Linked DNA regions of Nothobranchius furzeri. Each later gene encodes a partner of the first gene's protein in a complex. Links are inferred from orthologs where the notes say so. Each region holds a gene or a part of one and is shown in the gene's direction. Other genes may lie near its edges. The genes, in order: polr3d, polr3c, crcp, polr3f and polr3k.

Region 1 (3,963 bases):
CAAATAAAGTACTTTGATTAATCAATGAAAAGCGTTCTTCTTCTCTTCTTCTGTCTCTTCTCCTGGAATGTAAACATACTGAACCAAGCGTCCGACCTTGGTGATGTTACTGTGTGAAGGGGCAGCTGTTAAGGCAGACCATTATAAGATTCATAACGGTACAACCTATATAAGTCTCTAGACACCCATTTTTCTCAACAAAAAAACTGCTAAAAATATATTCAGCCTTGATTGTACACAGCAAGATTTATTATTTACAGTGATATAATTAATAATGCTCGATAACGATCAATACTAGATGTCATTTTATTGTGTTCAATGTTATATTACGTTTATTTATTACAATTATTAATAGCTTTTGTTTCATTTTTGTTCTCTGATGATTTATTTGGAAATGACTGATTTTTGGTTTGTGTTCTCAAAGCTACATAAACAAATTATATCTTGTAAAACCTCCCATAATTCAGTCAGATTCAAAACATTTCATTTCAAGGTATTTAGTAGATGAAGAGTTTTTTTTTCTTGTATGGTGCCTTCAAAAAGGTGCTTCACATTAATAATCTCACAGTAATTTATGTTACATTAACAGACTAAATAACAATGCTTCAACCTGCCCAGCATCAACAACAATCTATACATTTTTACTGATTGATATATATAATTATCATTATGTGGAAAAACAATGTGTTTATCACCAAAAATAGCCTTTTTATATTCCTTCGTAATAGTACTGATAGAGAAGAGAGCCTTAAGTGATTCCCACAGACCCCCTTAAATGAGGCTGCTAACTAACATGCTACATTCACCTTCGTGAGGTTCATTGGGTTGTGAGGAGTCACCTGCTGACATATCACCAGCTGCTGATTCTATAAGGACAAGGACAGCAACCCATTTACCATAATTAGATGAAACATAGTTCCTCTCATTGTGGATATCAAAGCTAGCTAACAGGTTGAATTTAACCAATCACTAACTAAACCCACCTTCCTTTGAGAATAACTGTGCGACATACTGACGCTCTCTCTTCTGCCTGTCCTTTCTCCTTTCATTCTTTCCTTTACTGTGACCCAGACGCGTTGCCCCGCCCGCGTTGCAGCCTGCGGCCATGCGCCTCATTCTGCGCATGCGCGTTCCGAACGGAACAACAACGCAGAGGTGTCATGGCGTCGTGCAGCACAGTGGCTCAGAAACAGAAACACAACTAGCTGGCTCAGAAACAGAAACACAACTAGCTAAGGTTCATTTATTATGACTCGCAGACCGTGAATAAACATAGAATAAAGACCCCGGAAGAAGAAATCAGGTAAGGATCTGGAAAAAGCTTAAATATCACTTTTTCTTCTCTAATGATGAAGGTTAGCGAACTAGTGCTGTATCATTATGTCCACGTGCTGGCGGTTTGTTCATTTCTAGCTGGAATTAAGTATTTTTTTCGTAGTGGGACGGTAGATTAAGAGAAACGAAAACCAGTTTAACCGTAGGAAAGTTTTCAGTGGTAACCAGTAGTCTGACTGCAAGTGAAGAAAGTTAAGTCATTTGGAGACCCAGCTGAAATGACTTCACTGCACTAGTTAACTCCTTCATTAGTAGTGTCCAAATATTTAGCTAAACAGGCCTAAAACGACAAGTTGAAAGTACTTGTGTGCCACTTTTATAAATGCAAACAATTTTTGTTCCCAGCTAAACAATAAAGTTAAATCAATCCTTCACTATTCGTTAGCATGTCTTCATATCACATCAGCTTCCAATGATGGGGTGCTGAAAGACAAAAGCCACAGGCCATGGCTAAAAAAACATCTATATAAGCAACGTGATTAAAACAGCGTCAATAAGATCAACAGTAAAACCAACAGAGGAATGTAAACAGATGCATTTAATTAGCATAATCCCCATTGTAATCCAGAAAAGAGAGAACTGGTTTTCAGTCTGAACCCAATGTTTAATATTATAATATAAAGTACACAATATTTTAGGGCTGCACATAGTAATTAGATATTTTTACGATAAGGATGTGTAGATCTCAGATGCAAAGCATCAACAGTCCAGTGTGGATGTAGATGTGCATCCAGATGTAATACCTGCATTCATATGTTGCTTTTAAATGCTACAAAATCCATCAGAATGTCGTTAGAAATAGGTGCCAATGCAGACAAAAATATCTGTGATTTTTAGATATTTTCTACAAAAAGAGTCTTTGTTGTGTCCACGATGACTACAGATACCAGTAGAAATAATTCCAAGTGAAAAAGGTTGATTTGTATCTCCTACTTTATTTAGTTCAAAATGGCTGACTCAAGTGACACCAGTAATCAGCGAATGGCGACTCCTGGAGGCAGCAGTAACGTTGGACTGCTGATGGGCCGCCGACCACCATCGGGAATCTCTCCAGGTCGCCTCCCTTCCATGAGGTCAAGAGACCTCACACTGGGGGGAGTAAAAAAGGTACTGCACCAGGTCTTTTATTAAAGTATAGTTATTTGTAGTGGTTTATAGTAGGAAGTCGAAAGTCAGGGGGAAACAATACACTGGTGCACCATTACCAGGAACTGAAGTTACCCACATCACAGCTGCGCTTCAGACAGCAGGTTTTGGAGTCTTAGTTCCTGATACTTGGACATTTATCCTCAGATTGGATAACAGTGATTCCTGGGGTTGTGCTCCTGCAGTCATTGGTGTATAAAATGAGCAGAAGTGGAGAGATGACTGAACCTTGTGGGGAACCAGTGGAGAGTGACCTGACAGTACTGTGATGGCCGTTAACCCTGACCCTCTGCTCCCTCCTCGTGAGAAAGGAGAGGACCCAGAGGATGAGATGGGAGTTAACATTCAGGTTCAGCAGTTTACATCCCATAAGATGTGGCTGGACTGTGTTGAATGCACTAGAGAAATCCACAAAGACCAGGTTGATATGTGACTTTGGCTGTTCCAGGTGGGTGAGGGTCTCATGCAGCATAGTTAGTAGAGCATCATCCACCCCTCTGTGTGGTTGGTATGCAAACTGCATTGGGTCCAAACATGCACCCACATCAACCAGCAGCTGGGCCATTACGAGCCTCTCAAAGGTCTTCACAATCAGTGATGTCAGAGCTACAGGTCCAAAGTCGCTGTTGATGCCTGGGTTGTTCTGCTTTGCCACGGGGCAGATGATAGAGGACTTCCAGATGGAGGGGATGGAGTGCTCAGCTAGCGAGCAGTTAAACAGGAAGCAGAGAACTCCCGCCAGCTGACTGCAGATGACCAGAGATCCTGCCTGGTCCTGAGGCCTTGTTGGGGTTGATCCTCTTTAGCGTGCTCTCCATGTCCACAGGCAGGAGCTGCAGGTTCTCAACGGCTTGGGACATAGGGGCTAGCTCCATGAATGTGAAGCGACAGTGTGACGTAGATCTGTCAGGCTTTTCACACCCTAGAGTTTTACTGTCTATTTTCTATCGTGTAGAAGACTTTTTCATGATCAGCCTGCATGAAAAATTCAGTGACCCATAATAATCAGAAATAATGATGCTCTTTAAAATTCTTTATTTCTAATATAATGTGAACAAAGAAAGCTTACCTGATACTCGTAGGACGATTAATACGCTGTGGATCAGTTATGATCCCAACACTGGCTTAGTGTTTACTCAAGCTGTTTACCAAAAGGGAGCTGCTTCCATCTTTGACATTTGCTCACACACCGGGTTGTTTACTCTATGGGTTTGAACTGTTTATTAAAAACAAACAACTTGCATCAAGGGGAAAATGTTCATTCAATTTAGTATTTATGTCTTTTATTTATTTATTTATATCACTGAGATTAATCTATACGAAAATGACAAGACAAAAAACCAATCATTTGTTAAAAACTCGTGGCTTCTAGGGACAAGTGATGACTAAAGATGCAACAGAAGCTGATTTTATTGTACACTGTCTAAAACCTAACACGTTTTTGTTTTCTTCCACTTTTAGAAAACGTTCACACCCAATATT
Region 2 (4,146 bases), on another chromosome or scaffold:
AAGTGCACCTAGTGCTGCTTTGACTTCACAAATGAAACTAAACATTAAGTCCATGAAAAATCCCCGAACTCGTCATTCCAACAGTATATTTGACCAGAAACAAACACTGAAAACAAAACTAGTCCACTGTCTCTCAGCTGAGTTTTAAATATGTCGTCTTGGCTTTAATGGTCCAGACAATCCGTGTTCAGGTCTTGTTCGGTGGAAAATACGCTCACAACACATTCACAGTGGGAAACCTGAAGCTTCGGGCCCTGAGTTTTGACACAATTACGCGTAGACACACGAATAGAACAAAACTTGACAGTGTCAAGTTTATAACCCAGCGTTTACCTCAAGTAAAAACAAATTAGGCACCGTTTAATTCAGAGAGTTAACAGCAACAACCGTTGCTAGCTGTTAACAAGCTAGCGGCGGTTTAGCTGTAGCAGACAGGCGAAACTAACTGCTATTGGTCGAGCAGCGGTGTTGTCAGTCGCGCACGATGTGGAATATATCACACATGACTAACCAAAAACACCGGACTTACCGGGAGTTTAGGATTTACTTCTCCCTTACAACAGTGACAGAAAAACCGATGCGGGGGAACAGGCGCGGCCTCCGCCATCTTCCCCAAGCAGCACAACTAGTGACGTTGGTCCTTTACAACCAAAAGACACTTTATGGCAAGCCGGTTCATCATATAATAAGTGATAATTCTGATATTTATCATATGCATTTTCATATCCTCCAAAATGATTATAAGTTGTTTTAAAACGTTTAATAATAAAAACGTCTTTATGATAGCAGTAAATCATATGAAAATTTAAAATATTTCAGAGTTACCACGGTATTCAAGACCTTGAAATCTGCACATTGTTCTCTAGTGGGAATTCCAGTTTTGAGAAACAAATTATTATTCTAACAAAAGTTGTTCGACAGCAAAGTACGTTTAGATTTTTTAAACCGGAAACTAAATTTCTATGGGAATTTGTTTGTCCTAACATTTGGGAAAGGTATTTGAGATTCTTGAAATGTTGATTTTGAATAGGTGAAATATACCTTTTGAAATACATGGAAGGAACTGCAGATGTTTACTGATGAATACTGACTTCACCCAGTGTGATTGTGTACCTCTTACTTTTTGTCTAACTTATTAACACGTCGAGCGCTTGAAATTTCAGTTGTTTATTCTGATAACTAAAAATGCAATTCATGAACAAATTTTTTTTTATTTAAATTCCAAATGAAAAAAATGGGATGTGGTTAATTATATGCTACAACAACTTGCCTGAACCAAACGATCTCCAGCTCGACAGGGGGCGCTGCACTGCAGCCAAATCCTGGAGGGAAGACCCAGAGAGCGGAAGTGTCTTTTTTACCGGAAGTGTCTGTGTGTTGTGATGGAAGAGACGCATGTGTAAAAAGTCGATGCATGAAGGCAACAGCTACGTTTGCTCCGAAACCCATCTGCAATAAAAGGTTCGTGAAAAAAATAAGTTACGTGTATTTATTTTTCCTAATTCTTTACTTTCAGGTGAGCTAGCCGCTAGTAGCTTGTAAGCTAATCCACTTAATACAACTTTAGCTTCACTGGTGTGGACATTAATCAGAGACGCTTAAAACATAATTAACATTTAATATTAGATGAAGTTTACATGTTGTCTTTTGTTTTATGGTGCTTTAGTGTTTTTTTAACCGAAACATCACAGTTTAAAGATGCTAGTGATTGATTTGTGATGCTTTAAGTGTACTAGTGTTTTAGTGTCCTGTCAAAAAAGTAAATATAATTTATAAAATACAATAAAATGACTTTATTCTTGCAATAGGTTAATTTCTGTTAAGATGTTGATAATAAATCATACTAATTTACCTATTTAAGCCAACCACATACACAATATTCAGTACTTTCCTCACAACTTGGTACAGTCATTTTGTCATTTAATTAGTTTGTTTATTTTGATCAACTGTTGGTTCATATTACACTGATTATTTTGTTTTCAATCTGTTTCATGAAAAGCATCTTTTATAAAATGTTCTGCTAATCTGGTGCTGCTTCCGTGGGTTTTATTATCGTGATATAGGTGATGTCATCTAATTTACTGTTTTGCTTCATCTACAATAAAATACAGGAATTCTTCTACAAAACCTGTAACATAAATAAAACCAGTTTACTTCCATCCATCCATTTTCATCCGCTTATCTGGAGTCGGGTGGCTGGGGCTGTAGCCTAAGTCGAGAGGTCCAAACTTCCCTCTCCCCAGCCACTTGGGCCAGCTCCTCCGGGGGAATCCCAAGGCGTTCCCTGGCCAGGTGAGAGACATAGTCCCTCCACCGTGTCCTGGGTCTACCTTTAGGCCTCCTCCCAGTTGGACGTGCCCGGGAAACCTCACCAGGGAGGCGTCCAGGAGGCATCCTGACCAGATGCCCAAGCCACCTCAACTGGCTCCTCTCGATGTGGAGGAACAGCGGGTCTACTCCGAGCCCCTCCCGGATGACCGAGCTTCTCACCCTATCTCTAAGGGAGAGCCCAGCCACTCTTTGGAGAAAACTCATTTCGGCCGCTTGTATCCGTGATCTCGTTCTTTCGGTCACTACCCAAAGCTCATGACCATAGGTGAGGGTAGGAACGTAGATCGACCGGTAAATCGAGAACTTCGCCTTCCGACTCAGCTCTCTCTTCACCACGACAGACCGGTACAACGCCCGCATCACTGCAGACGCAGCACCAATCTGCCTATCGATCTCACGCTCCAGCTTTCCCTCACTCGTGAACAAGACCCCGAGATACTTAAATTCCTCCACTTGGGGCAGGACCTCATCCCTGACCCGTTTACTTGTGGATCTTATTTATATTGTATGTTTTTGCAGATGACAGCCCAGGAGGTACGACTGTGTGGTCTTCTGATGCGAGAGCATTTCGGGGAGGTGGTGGAGAAAGTGGGAACACACCTGCTCAGAAGTGGTGGCCAACATTTACGAGCCATTGTTCATGAAACTGGAGTCTCAGCGGACCTGGTACAAATGACAAGCTTCTTTCTGCTGGTTAATACTGAGAATATATTTGCTTAGCAGCTAATTGTTGGTGGTGATGTATTTTAGATAAGTAGAGTTGATTTATTGGACAGTTTTACACTATAAATGATTTTTAATCACACAGTACAGATGCTGCTTTTGCCTTTGTTTTTAAAGGTAAAGAAGTCTTTATGCGTGCTTATGCATCACGGAGCGTGTTCGTTCATCTCTGGTCGAAAGGGACCCGGCAGCCCCCCAGAGTATCAGGCAAGCTGCGATTGCATTCTGAGGATTCTGCGATACCCACGTTACATCTACACCTCTAAAACCTTGTACGGTGACACCGGAGAGCTGATCGTTGAGGAGCTGCTTCAGAGGGGTCACATGACGATGAGCGGCACGGTCAAGACAGTCGCTGACCGCCTCAGTCAGAACATGGAGGGTCAGCGTCTGATTTTAAAAAGACAAAAATCTGGATTTGATTTTGAATGTTTTTCAGGTTTCAGTAGGATTTATATTACGTGACATCAAGTGTCTATGTTGTTCTTACAGATGGGCAGAGCGTTGATTACAGCGAAGTGTCGTCTGTCTTTTCTAAACTGGTGGAGACGCATTTCCTGCAGCGCTGCCCTCCGTTGGACGGAGCAGGAATGACAGCCAGCAGCACTCAAGCCGGCCCCAATCCCACTGCAGCCGCCTCCAGCTCCACCCTGCCCAACCCAGAGAGCTTCTCCGAGTGCTATAAGGTGCCTCATGTGACCCTCGTCGGGCGGGGAAAGCGCCAGCTCGCCACCGAGGAGGGAGAAGAGCAAAGGAGCGCAAAAAGAGCCAAAATGGAGCCAGAAGTCGGGAACAACTCTCTTTTTTCACCTATTTATTCATTCCAACATTTCTCTGTTTCTGCTTTTATCATCATCACACACGGTTGGTGTTTTTGTGCAGACTCATGGTGACGAGGGGATCTACTGGCAGGTGAACTTTACGCGGTTTCATCAGCACTTCAGAGACCAGGTGATCATCAGTGCCGTGGCCAGTAAACTGGATCAGGTCAGGCTTCCTCTTCAGGACTAAAAATACGAGTGAATAAAAAAAAAAAAAGAGTTGAACGTGCCTACAAAACGCTTATTCATTCTCCTGGATGACTAAAATGTT
Region 3 (4,278 bases), on another chromosome or scaffold:
TTTGCCAAGAGGACCAAAAGGGAGGCAAAGAAATGGGCCCAAAAGAGGATGAGAGAAACATGGGAGGAAAAGCCAATGCATGGACAATACCCCTTGAGAGTAAAAAAAAGCAGACGTAGAACAAGATCATATCAGTGGCTACGCAGTGCAGGACTGAAGGCAGAAACTGAAGGATTGTTGATAGCAGCACAAGACCAGAGCCTGTCAACGAGATCATACCACCACAAGATCATGAAAGATGGAACAGACCCAATGGGGGGGGGGGGGGGGGGGGGATCTCTGCTGCTTGCTGCCACAAGGACATAAGAGTGCAGCAAAAACCTCATGTTTGTATGGGGAGGACAAAAGTCTCAAAAGATCTGTATGTGTGTATCTAGATTTGTTTATGTGTATCTAGATTTGTGTGTGTTTATCTACATTTGTGTGTGCGTAACTAAAGATTTTTGTGTGTGTAACTCTTGATTTGTAACTTGTGTTTATATTTTTGTGTGTAAATTCAGTTCTTACACATACAATCATTGAACACACACACACACAAATCACCTGGTACACACGGACAAGTCTACAGGACACACAGATCAGTTTACAAGTACAAAAATTATTAGTCAATTTAGGGTTGGGCATCGAGCATCGATTGGAACGGGGACCAACTGTTAGTTTTTCCCGGAATCGTTCAAATTTTTTTATTTAGATTCCAAGTTTCGATTCCTAGAATGCCGACGGAAGAGGAATCCGCAGCTGATCTCCGTGAAAAATAAACGTGATCTACCAACGCTTTTCAGATCTGATCACACCAGCTTTCTGTGTGCAGTACCGAGTCCCCCCTCCCCCCACCTGGCGCGCAGCGGCCAAATATAAACAAACGTGTCCGCCGAACTTTTACTCCGTAATGTAAACTTTAACTCCTGCAGCGTAGAGGAAACGTGTTAAAATCATCAACACGGTGGATTTAATAGAAGCTTTAAAGAACAAACTCTGGACGGCGTGAGGTGAGTTTGTCTCACTGCAAAAATAAAAACACACACGGAGCGTCAGCAGTCAGACGCAGCCGCTCACCAACACTCGTGTGTGTGCGTGCGCATCAGAAGGCTGAACAATAACCTGTAGAATAAAGTCTTCATGTTAGAGAAGCTTCTCAGTGGTGGACCACACCAGCTTCTGCCACAATAAATACTCATGATAATACTAATAAATCACACACAAAGTTGTGAACATTTTAATTTCCTTTCTGAACTATTTCTGTTGAGTATTTTAATGTTTAAAATCTGTTAGATTAGGAAATCTGGCTCAGCTCCCTCTTCACCACGACAGATCGGCTCACTGCAGACGCCGAACCAATCCGCCTGTCGATCACACACACACACACACACACACACACACACACACACACACACACACACACACACACACACACACACACACACACACACACACACACACACACACACACACACACACACAAGCAGACCTTTCGAGACTTTTTTCTCCCCTCACATTTGTGTCGGCGGAACCTTTATCCATGCTCTCCGTTTCCCCACGGAAGGTGTAACAACGTACCGCAGTTCCGGGCGCATAAATGGAAGTGTAAGGATTTCATTTTTACCTTTCATTTAGTTTATTTTAGCAAGAGACTTTGCTAAGTAGCTGTTGTGAATTGTGTTTTTAACAACAACTATAAGCCGTAGTTTTCAGTTTTTGGTTTATTATTGATGGATGAAAGCGAACAGAGCTAGCGAAACAGCAGAGACACATTTTCAGTTCGGTCTGGGACGAAAAACTGTTCATCCTAGCTTATTAAAATTTAAAAACAAAAAACGAGTCAGTATTAACCATTAAAGCCAAACAACACGGTCCTTTTGTTATGACTGAAGACTTTTTTTCTAAAGTCTTTTTAATTCTTTTAAATGAAACTTTTAGCTGATTTTTATTTATTTATTTTTACTAAACGATTCGTAAATGGTCAGAATAATATTTTACTCTCGACTGCATTTTTATAGGTTTAATTTCTTAACCCACATGGAGACAAAAAACGCATTAATCATCTTAACTGTTCATTCCTCTATATTCCGAGTTGATGGTGGACAGGGGACAGCTCTCTAGTCCATCACAGAGACACATGCACTCACTCACAGGTAGAGACAACTTAGAGTCAACAGTTAACCTGAGATGCATGCGTTTGGTCTGTGGGAGGAAACAGAGTATCCATACAGAGAAAACACGCATGCAGTGGAGAACTCCACAAAGGCTGCAGCTGGAATTCGAACCTGCAACCTTTTCGCTGTGAGGCAGCAGCACCAGCTCCTCCCTTCCATGCAGCTCATAACAACTACATCAATTCAAAACTTTCAACTTTTTGTGTTTTCAGCAAAAATTCAAGTGCTGCAATGCTCAGCAACTATGAGGTAATATAGTCGGTTTACCCTCGCATGACGTGTTATTCACTGTTCAGTCAAACAGATCAGTTTGTAACTTTTACTTTCTTTTTTTTTACTGCTCAGGTGTTCAAACTTCTCATAGATCTGAAGGAACAGAGGAAAGATGGGGGGAAGAGCAAACACAGTGCCGGGCAGCAGAACCTCAACACTATCATGTATGAGGTCAGGTCACATCTCTCTTCCTGCATTTATATAAATGTTTTGGTCATATTTATTACAAACATAATCTCCTGTGGGTTCGCCATCAGACACTTAAGTACCTGTCGAAGACGCCGTCCAGCAGACAAAGTCCTGAGATTGTCAAGGAGTTCCTCACCACCATGATGCCCCACAAACTCACAAAGTCAGTGAGATCTAATAAACATTTTATTTTGATTTAGTTGTGTTGATACGATGGACATTGTCTTAACATTTAGCCTTTTTCTGTTAATCTGATTTGTTTTTGTCATCATCAGGGCAGAAAAACTTCAGCTGTTGAACCACCGACCTCAAACTGCAGTAGAAATTCAGCTAGTGAGTCTCGTTAAATTTGTTAAAATTTGTGCAAAACGCAACCCAACCTACCAGGCTACCAGTAATAACCGGTGAAATCCACAGTAGCTCTGCCTGCCAGCTCTGCAGTTTCTTTAATCTTTGATTGAGAAATATTAAATAGCATTCAGACCTAGACTGAGTAAAAAATAAACACACACTGTGGAAATTAAATGTTTTTGTTGAATCAAGACACCCAAAACAGAATTTAAACTTTAAAAATGTATCGCAACACAAGGAAAATATTATTTTTTTAATTTTAATCACGCTAAGAGTTTGGTGCGTGGCATTTGAACTAGCTGCTATTTTATCCTTTGTTAATTATAAAAAAGTGGTTCTTTTAAAGGTGTGGAACACTTTTAGTGAATATTTCTGATTATAATCGGTCTCTGAGTTTTTCATGCAGGCTGAACATGAAAATAGTCTCCTACGTCTATCTGCTGCATTAGCTTCGGATGGAAAATAGACGGTGAAACTCTAGGATTAGAAAAGCCTGACAGATCTAAGTCACACTGTCACTTAACATTAATGGACTCACTCATCTTGATTCATGACGGAGAAGGCTGTTGTTGGCTTAGCGTCCAGGAAACGGCAGAGAATGTCTCAGCTAGTAGAAGCTAACCATTAGCAACTCCACCACACAGCAAAAGCTCCTCCAGGCTTGTGTTACTTGTGGAGATGATAATCAGTGGTAGAGTCGCATTGCTGTTGTAGTGTATCGATAGTTACATCTCTTACGTAGGAAACCATCAAAGGTGAGATTCCTTAGAAAATATGGAATCAATTTGATGTATCTTTGAATACTACCTTTAATCAGAAGATATGAACTTTTTATTGCAGGGATTAGGTAATAATTTGTAATAACCCAGAGTCAAAGAGAGAGACAAGTTTTAAAGTTTAAGAAGATTTATTTCTAAACAATTTAAAACAAGGCTAACTCTAACTTTAACTCTAAAGCTTGGTTTATGCTTGACGCATTCACTTTCCGCTTGGTGATGCGGCTCGCGGATGGAACGCGCTTCACAACTCGCAGCGTTTATGGTTCGTGCGGCTTGTCTCTGCGGTGAGCCAATATTCTCCCAAACTGAACGGGGCAACATGGAGCTCTACGGCATGCATCTAACACTACACCATAGTAGAAGTAAAAATTACTATTTACAACATGGCATTTCAGCATTTTTAACAGCGTCCTCGTCTTTTCTGACAGTGCGAGCTATTTCTCTCCAAGAATGATTAACAACATGTTGATCACGGTGATCTTTGAGAGCTAAATCATACAAATGTCTGTATTTACGAACCTCTGCCATACTAG
Region 4 (2,672 bases), on another chromosome or scaffold:
CTCATTTTCTCACCGTCTTCGTCGCGCTCTCCCCTCTCTCTCTCTCTCTCTCTGTCTCTGTCTCTGTCTCTCTCTCTCTCTCTCTCTGTCTCTGTCTCTGTCTCTCTCTCTCTGTCTCTCTCTCTCTCTCTCTCTCTCTCACCTTTTTCCTCCTCCTCATTCCCTCTCGTCTCCCTCCACCTGCATGTGCTCTGCTGTGTGTCTGAGTCTGATCCTCCCTCTTCCCCGCCCCTACTGCTCTGTGTGTGGACAGTCTGGACACACAGTTACACATGCTGACCAATCGCCTGTAGCTTTCACCAAAGCAAGAGGGAAGGGGGGGGGGGGGGCACGGCTCCCAATGATGAGCCGGCTCTTAGGGCCGGTTCGTTCGCGACCGACACATCACTAGCTGGTACCATATGATGTCACAATGTTGTTGTGAGCCTGTGTGTGTGTGTATTAGTTAGCGGCTCCGCCCTCTCGGTCTGCTAGGCAACAGCATTTGTTGCATTTTTCAAACAGGAAGTGGGAGTGGAGTTAGACTCTGGTAGGGGGTGACTTGCTCTTTAAGTTAAACTAAATGAAGCCTTTTAATGATCTTGGCTTAGCAGCAGCATCATAGCAACAAACCTCTCATCCCCGAGACTGAACTTTGGGTATCCGTGGATGTGCCTGACTTTAAACCGGCCTGAAGGATCTCTCTCTCTCTCTCTCTCTCTCTCTCTCTCTCTCTCTCTCTCTCTCTCTCTCTCTCTCTCTCTCTCTCTCTCTCTCTCTCTCTCTCTCTCTCTCTCTCTCTCTCTCTCTCTCTCTCTCTCTCTCTCTCTCTCTCTCTCTCTCTCTCTCTCTCTCTCTCTCTCTCGTCGTCTTCACCTACTCCTTTGGGGTGAACTGAACTCAGTTATGGACCCTCTACAGCTCTGTGGTAGCGTCTGTTGTCCTTTTATGAGGTTTATTATGTTTGGTGGAAGTGTAGAGAGGGTCAAGGGGACATTAATCAAGCTGGTCAAGAGGGAAAGGGCAGTCCAGCACTGTCCCTTGAGGTGTGTGGAGCAGGTTTGAACCCCACCCCCAGACAGCGGGACAGACAGACAACTGAATTGTCCTCTTACTCTGTTTTTGTTATGAGAGCGCTGGAACAGCCGTGTGGTAATAAAAGTTTATTCAGGTCATTACGGACCACCAGAGGGCAGCAGAGATCTCCCTCCTGAAGGTCCACTGACCTGACCTCATGTCTCTGAGCTCAGTTCCTTAGTAAGGCATTATGGGATGTAAGGATCTTATCTTTTAAAAGAGGTCTTAAAGAAACGATGGAAGCTCTTTAACCGTGAAGCTTCAGCCAGCCTCCATCAATACTCCTTTGAGGTTCTTCTGGGTCATTTTGTTCTGTTGGGGAACCCTCCCGACGACAACAACTGTTGGACCAGAACCTGATAGTTCTGCCAAATGACCAAATGATCGGATCAGAACCCATCCTCTGGGTTGGTCTGGATGATGCTGTTCAGGAACAGGTGGGTTCTGGTCATGTGACCGTCGTGGTGTTCCGTGTGTTAAGGCTGACGCAGCGAGGGACAGCAATCAGAGCCCGATGGTTCAGCGGAACAGCTCCTTCGCCACCTCTCATGAAGTGTGGAAGTACATCTGCGAGCTTGGAATTAGTAAGGTGACTGCTAACGTCCACCAATCACACATCACGCTCGCTGTAGTCCGTGTGTCTGACAGGTGTGTGTCCAGGTGGATCTGTCCATGGACGACATCGAGACCATTCTGAACACGCTCATCTATGACGGGAAGGTGGAGATGACCGTGATTGCCGCCAAGGAGGGGACGGTGGGCAGCGTGGACGGGCAGATGAAGCTGTACAGGGGCGTGAACCCCATCCTGCAGCCCACCGGCCTCGTCAAGACGCCCTGCGGACTCTGCCCGGTAACCACACTCATTAACATGGCTGCATCCTGCTCGTGGACGCGCCTGAACTCACCTGATCCTGTCTGCAGGTGTTTGATGACTGTCATGAGGGAGGGGAAATCTCTCCGTCCAGCTGCATCTACATGACCGAGTGGTTGGACTTCTGATGGCTATTCGGCCCACTTCTTTTCTCTGTGAGGAAACTTCATTCAGCCTGCTGTGATCCACAGTTTTTCTTTTTTTTATTTATCAGTCTTAATAAAGCAGCTCGTGTGAACCGTTTGATGCTGAGATGAGTTATTGTTCAGTCTGGTGTAAAATCTGCAGGAATCTTGGACTGTCTCTCTGACAAATGAAGATGGATGAAATCCCACCATCTCCAACTCCACCTCTCTAAAACTGAACTACTTGTCATCCCAGTGAAACCATCCATACAGCACAATATCTCAATCCAAAATCTATATCTGGCGCCTTCAAAGGCAGTTCGAAATCTGGGTGTTGTGATTGATGAACACCTGACCTTTAAAGATCATGTTGCCTCTGTTGCTCGTTCATGCCGCTTTGTGCTGTATAACATACGAAAGATCAGACCATACCTAACACAACATGCCACCCAGCTCCTGGTGCAATCTACCGTCATCTCCCGCCTCCATTACTGCAACGCCCTTCTAACTGGTCTTCCAGGCTGCACTGTGAGACCTCTTCAAATGGTCCAGAACGCAGCGGCGCGTCTGGTCTTCAATCAGCCTAAAAGAGCACACGTCACCCCTCTGTTCATTGAG
Region 5 (2,949 bases), on another chromosome or scaffold:
TTTAACATACAAGCAAGAAGAGACATCAGCAAGGACTTTGGGGAGATAATTTTGTCTTTGCTCTAATAAAAACTGTAATATGCAGTGATCTGCTGTTTTTACTCCATTGGAAGCTTGCAAATTGATTCATAAACACTTTGTAGTGCAAATGGGATCCATTTGAGTTTTAATAGGTATCTAAATAGACTGTTTGGAAATTGCAGGTGAGGTGTGTGTCCAAACTTTTGACTAAAGTAACAAAAGCTGCACAATGTATCACAAAACATCATCACTGTGACTGCTTCAGTGGCACACAAAAACAGCTTGATTCACAGTAGATGGGGACATGTTCATGTGACTGAATCTCCTTAATGCTATTGCTGAAAACACACCAGTGGTGAGTGATGTGTGGTAACAGAGTGAGGAAAATGAGGATTTAGCACAACTGTTATCGTCATCGCAATACCCAACGATATTGTAACAGTGTGATTTACTAAATCCTACAAAAGTATAATCCTGGCCCAAATATCTTCTACAATCGTCATTGGACTTTAAAAATAAAATAGACCAGCTCCAATGAGTGAATCTCAAATAAAGGTGACAACACACGTTTTCCTTCAGAGTAACTGAGGGCACTCAGAAATAACACCTGGATTGGCAGGTCGCAGAGTAAAGGGTCCTGCACAAGTCGAGCAAGTCCTTCTTCAAAAATATCCAGGATCTCAGAGTGAGGGAGAGAATCTTCATCGTCCTCCTCCTCAGCAGCTGCCTCGTTTAGGAAGCTCTCCTTTTTCACCTCCTCATCCTGCACTAGTTGCGCTCCTTCACCTCCTTTGACTACAGCAGAACCTGGACTCTGCTCCTCCTCCATCCGATAATCATCCAGCTATTGGGTACCTTCCGGGTTTCCTGCTAGAAAACGTCGTCTGGATACAATTTACCTGGACAACAATTACAGGTTTACTTCAAAACTGCTGCTAAAAAAGAAGAATTAGAACAGCAAAAGCCCGTATGTAACTGTGTGCAGTACAAACAAACTACCGGAACGGAAATGGACCTTATGTAAAAGGTTCCACTTGATGAAAATAAAAATGAACAGCTGCGTTAACATTTGATAAATACGTATTCTTATCATAAATTAATAACATTCATTTTAATATAGAATTGTTTACATACAATTAGGCATGTTGTTTAAACGATTAGCGACTTCCGGTTGTTTCCGTTCGAGCTGTTTTCATCAGTCGACTTCCGGTTTTCTCTACGCAGCAGATGGTTTCTGGTGAAATCACATTTAGATTCCATTTAGTTGATGGTTTGCGACCAAATTGATTACATTTAAAATGCTACTCTTTTGCCCTACCTGTGGAAACGTTTTGATCGTAGAAGAAGGACAGAAGTGTATGAGGTTCGCGTGTAACACCTGTCCTTACATACACAACATCACAAGAAAGGTAGGAGTCACCCGTAACTAAACCAGGTTTCATCATCTAGTTGGTGTCAGAAACACAAAATATTTGTCGTTAGGTTTGTAAGTTTAAGGTCTTGTTTTATTTCTCTTGAAGGTAAACAACCGAAAGTATCCCAAATTAAAGGAGGTGGATGATGTTCTCGGTGGGGCTGCTGCGTGGGAGAACGTGGATTCAACTGCAGGTAAATAACATTAAAATGACTTCCTGGAGTCTGCATACAAATGTTTAGCATATTCTTTAGTTTTAGTTAAGTAATTAAAGTGTTTTAACGCCTAAAATGAGAAAAGTGTACTTCCAATTTTCAATTATACAAACGGATTAATCCAGGATTTTCAGTTTTTCTTTTTGTTCAAGCCAAACCATTCAACAATCCTGATATCCTGTATCTTTATTTAGGTCATAGTAGAATTGGCTAGATGCTTAATAAACTATTATTTATCTCCTTAAAACAATTCATGATCCTTAAACAGGATTAGTGATTTCTTAAGATTAACATTCTTAAACTAAAACCTGGACATACCAGAGGTATTTGGGGTATAAGATGGTACATACCGGTGTGGCCTCTAAGCTGACATATTCCTTCTCTATCTCTGTACAGAAAAATGTCCCAAGTGTGAGCATCCTCGGGCGTATTTCATGCAGATTCAGACCAGATCTGCTGATGAACCCATGACAACTTTCTACAAATGCTGTAATGCCCAGTGTGGACATCGATGGAGAGACTGAAAGTTTTCTACTTGTAGTTATTTCAAATGTTCAGATGATTTCTGGCCTGGTTTTCCTTTTCTTCTGTATTTATTTGCACCATTTACTTTCCAGTTGTGATAAATGTTCCACATGACAAAGTGTTTACTTCATGATTTTTATTGGTAAAATAGCGCCTGTGTACAGTCACATAAATTGCGTACATAGTTGTACATCAGACATCTGGAGCGATGCAGACCAGCAGTTTTCACAACATGACTAAAGTTCCATTACAATCCTTCACAAAATGTGTTTTTTTGTTTTATATTTTGCACAGATTTTTCAGTCTTGAGGAAAAAAATATGCACAGAGTCGGAGCACATCAATGATTATTACTAAAGGTATAGCCCAGGCAAACTGCGAGAAGCATTAGTGGCTGATGTATCCCACATGCTGAGATGATTCACTGTTAGTGTTCAGAATCACTTTTGCAAAAGGTCTAATTCAACAACTTCATGAAGCTCATTAAAATCTCACTAATCAAATGTATTTCATTTCATCTAAGCGAAGAACCTTCATTTAGGTGAATCCTTAATGGCTTAGTACTCAGTTTTTAAAACCTCTTAAGATCAGCTAAATCTGAAATGGTGCTGCATGAGCCTGACAGAAAAACACACACCAAGATGTCATGCTTTCGTTTTTAAGTGATTAGCTTGTCTATCGCCTTCAGTACACTTGTGGACCATTCCCATCTGTACCGGGTCGGCCCGGGCCGGGTAGCGTAGGTTGTTTACATATCTGGGTGGCCTGGTATTTT

Evidence for each region.
Region 2: polr3d (region 1) and polr3c share a complex: the UniProt entries of both Homo sapiens proteins name them as parts of the RNA polymerase III complex. The link is inferred for Nothobranchius furzeri from reciprocal best matches to the Homo sapiens genes POLR3D and POLR3C.
Region 3: polr3d (region 1) and crcp share a complex: the UniProt entries of both Homo sapiens proteins name them as parts of the RNA polymerase III complex. The link is inferred for Nothobranchius furzeri from reciprocal best matches to the Homo sapiens genes POLR3D and CRCP.
Region 4: polr3d (region 1) and polr3f share a complex: the UniProt entries of both Homo sapiens proteins name them as parts of the RNA polymerase III complex. The link is inferred for Nothobranchius furzeri from reciprocal best matches to the Homo sapiens genes POLR3D and POLR3F.
Region 5: polr3d (region 1) and polr3k share a complex: the UniProt entries of both Homo sapiens proteins name them as parts of the RNA polymerase III complex. The link is inferred for Nothobranchius furzeri from reciprocal best matches to the Homo sapiens genes POLR3D and POLR3K.

What each region holds. Positions count from the first base shown.
Region 1 is NC_091757.1:39,754,729-39,758,691, forward strand, and holds the start of polr3d (DNA-directed RNA polymerase III subunit RPC4), read left to right. Parts: upstream 1-1,147; 5' UTR 1,148-1,303; intron 1,304-2,277; 5' UTR 2,278-2,283; coding exon 2,284-2,442; intron 2,443-3,942; coding exon 3,943-3,963. UniProt on the Homo sapiens protein: DNA-dependent RNA polymerase catalyzes the transcription of DNA into RNA using the four ribonucleoside triphosphates as substrates.
Region 2 is NC_091745.1:77,811,043-77,815,188, reverse strand, and holds the start of polr3c (DNA-directed RNA polymerase III subunit RPC3), read left to right. Parts: upstream 1-1,333; 5' UTR 1,334-1,461; intron 1,462-2,850; coding exon 2,851-2,997; intron 2,998-3,171; coding exon 3,172-3,436; intron 3,437-3,546; coding exon 3,547-3,839; intron 3,840-3,936; coding exon 3,937-4,041; intron 4,042-4,146. Other genes in the region: rnf115a (E3 ubiquitin-protein ligase RNF115), read right to left, coding at 530-607. UniProt on the Homo sapiens protein: DNA-dependent RNA polymerase catalyzes the transcription of DNA into RNA using the four ribonucleoside triphosphates as substrates.
Region 3 is NC_091750.1:56,809,977-56,814,254, reverse strand, and holds the start of crcp (DNA-directed RNA polymerase III subunit RPC9), read left to right. Parts: upstream 1-1,461; 5' UTR 1,462-1,576; coding exon 1,577-1,584; intron 1,585-2,365; coding exon 2,366-2,402; intron 2,403-2,498; coding exon 2,499-2,597; intron 2,598-2,683; coding exon 2,684-2,778; intron 2,779-2,890; coding exon 2,891-2,948; intron 2,949-4,278. UniProt on the Homo sapiens protein: DNA-dependent RNA polymerase catalyzes the transcription of DNA into RNA using the four ribonucleoside triphosphates as substrates.
Region 4 is NC_091746.1:29,572,809-29,575,480, reverse strand, and holds the end of polr3f (DNA-directed RNA polymerase III subunit RPC6), read left to right. Parts: intron 1-1,537; coding exon 1,538-1,645; intron 1,646-1,716; coding exon 1,717-1,908; intron 1,909-1,979; coding exon 1,980-2,057; 3' UTR 2,058-2,172; downstream 2,173-2,672. UniProt on the Homo sapiens protein: DNA-dependent RNA polymerase catalyzes the transcription of DNA into RNA using the four ribonucleoside triphosphates as substrates.
Region 5 is NC_091745.1:3,876,682-3,879,630, reverse strand, and holds polr3k (DNA-directed RNA polymerase III subunit RPC10), read left to right. Parts: upstream 1-1,176; 5' UTR 1,177-1,319; coding exon 1,320-1,430; intron 1,431-1,541; coding exon 1,542-1,629; intron 1,630-2,046; coding exon 2,047-2,174; 3' UTR 2,175-2,444; downstream 2,445-2,949. Other genes in the region: snrnp25 (U11/U12 small nuclear ribonucleoprotein 25 kDa protein), read right to left, coding at 629-850. UniProt on the Homo sapiens protein: Core component of RNA polymerase III (Pol III) which synthesizes small non-coding RNAs using the four ribonucleoside triphosphates as substrates. Can mediate Pol I proofreading of the nascent RNA transcript.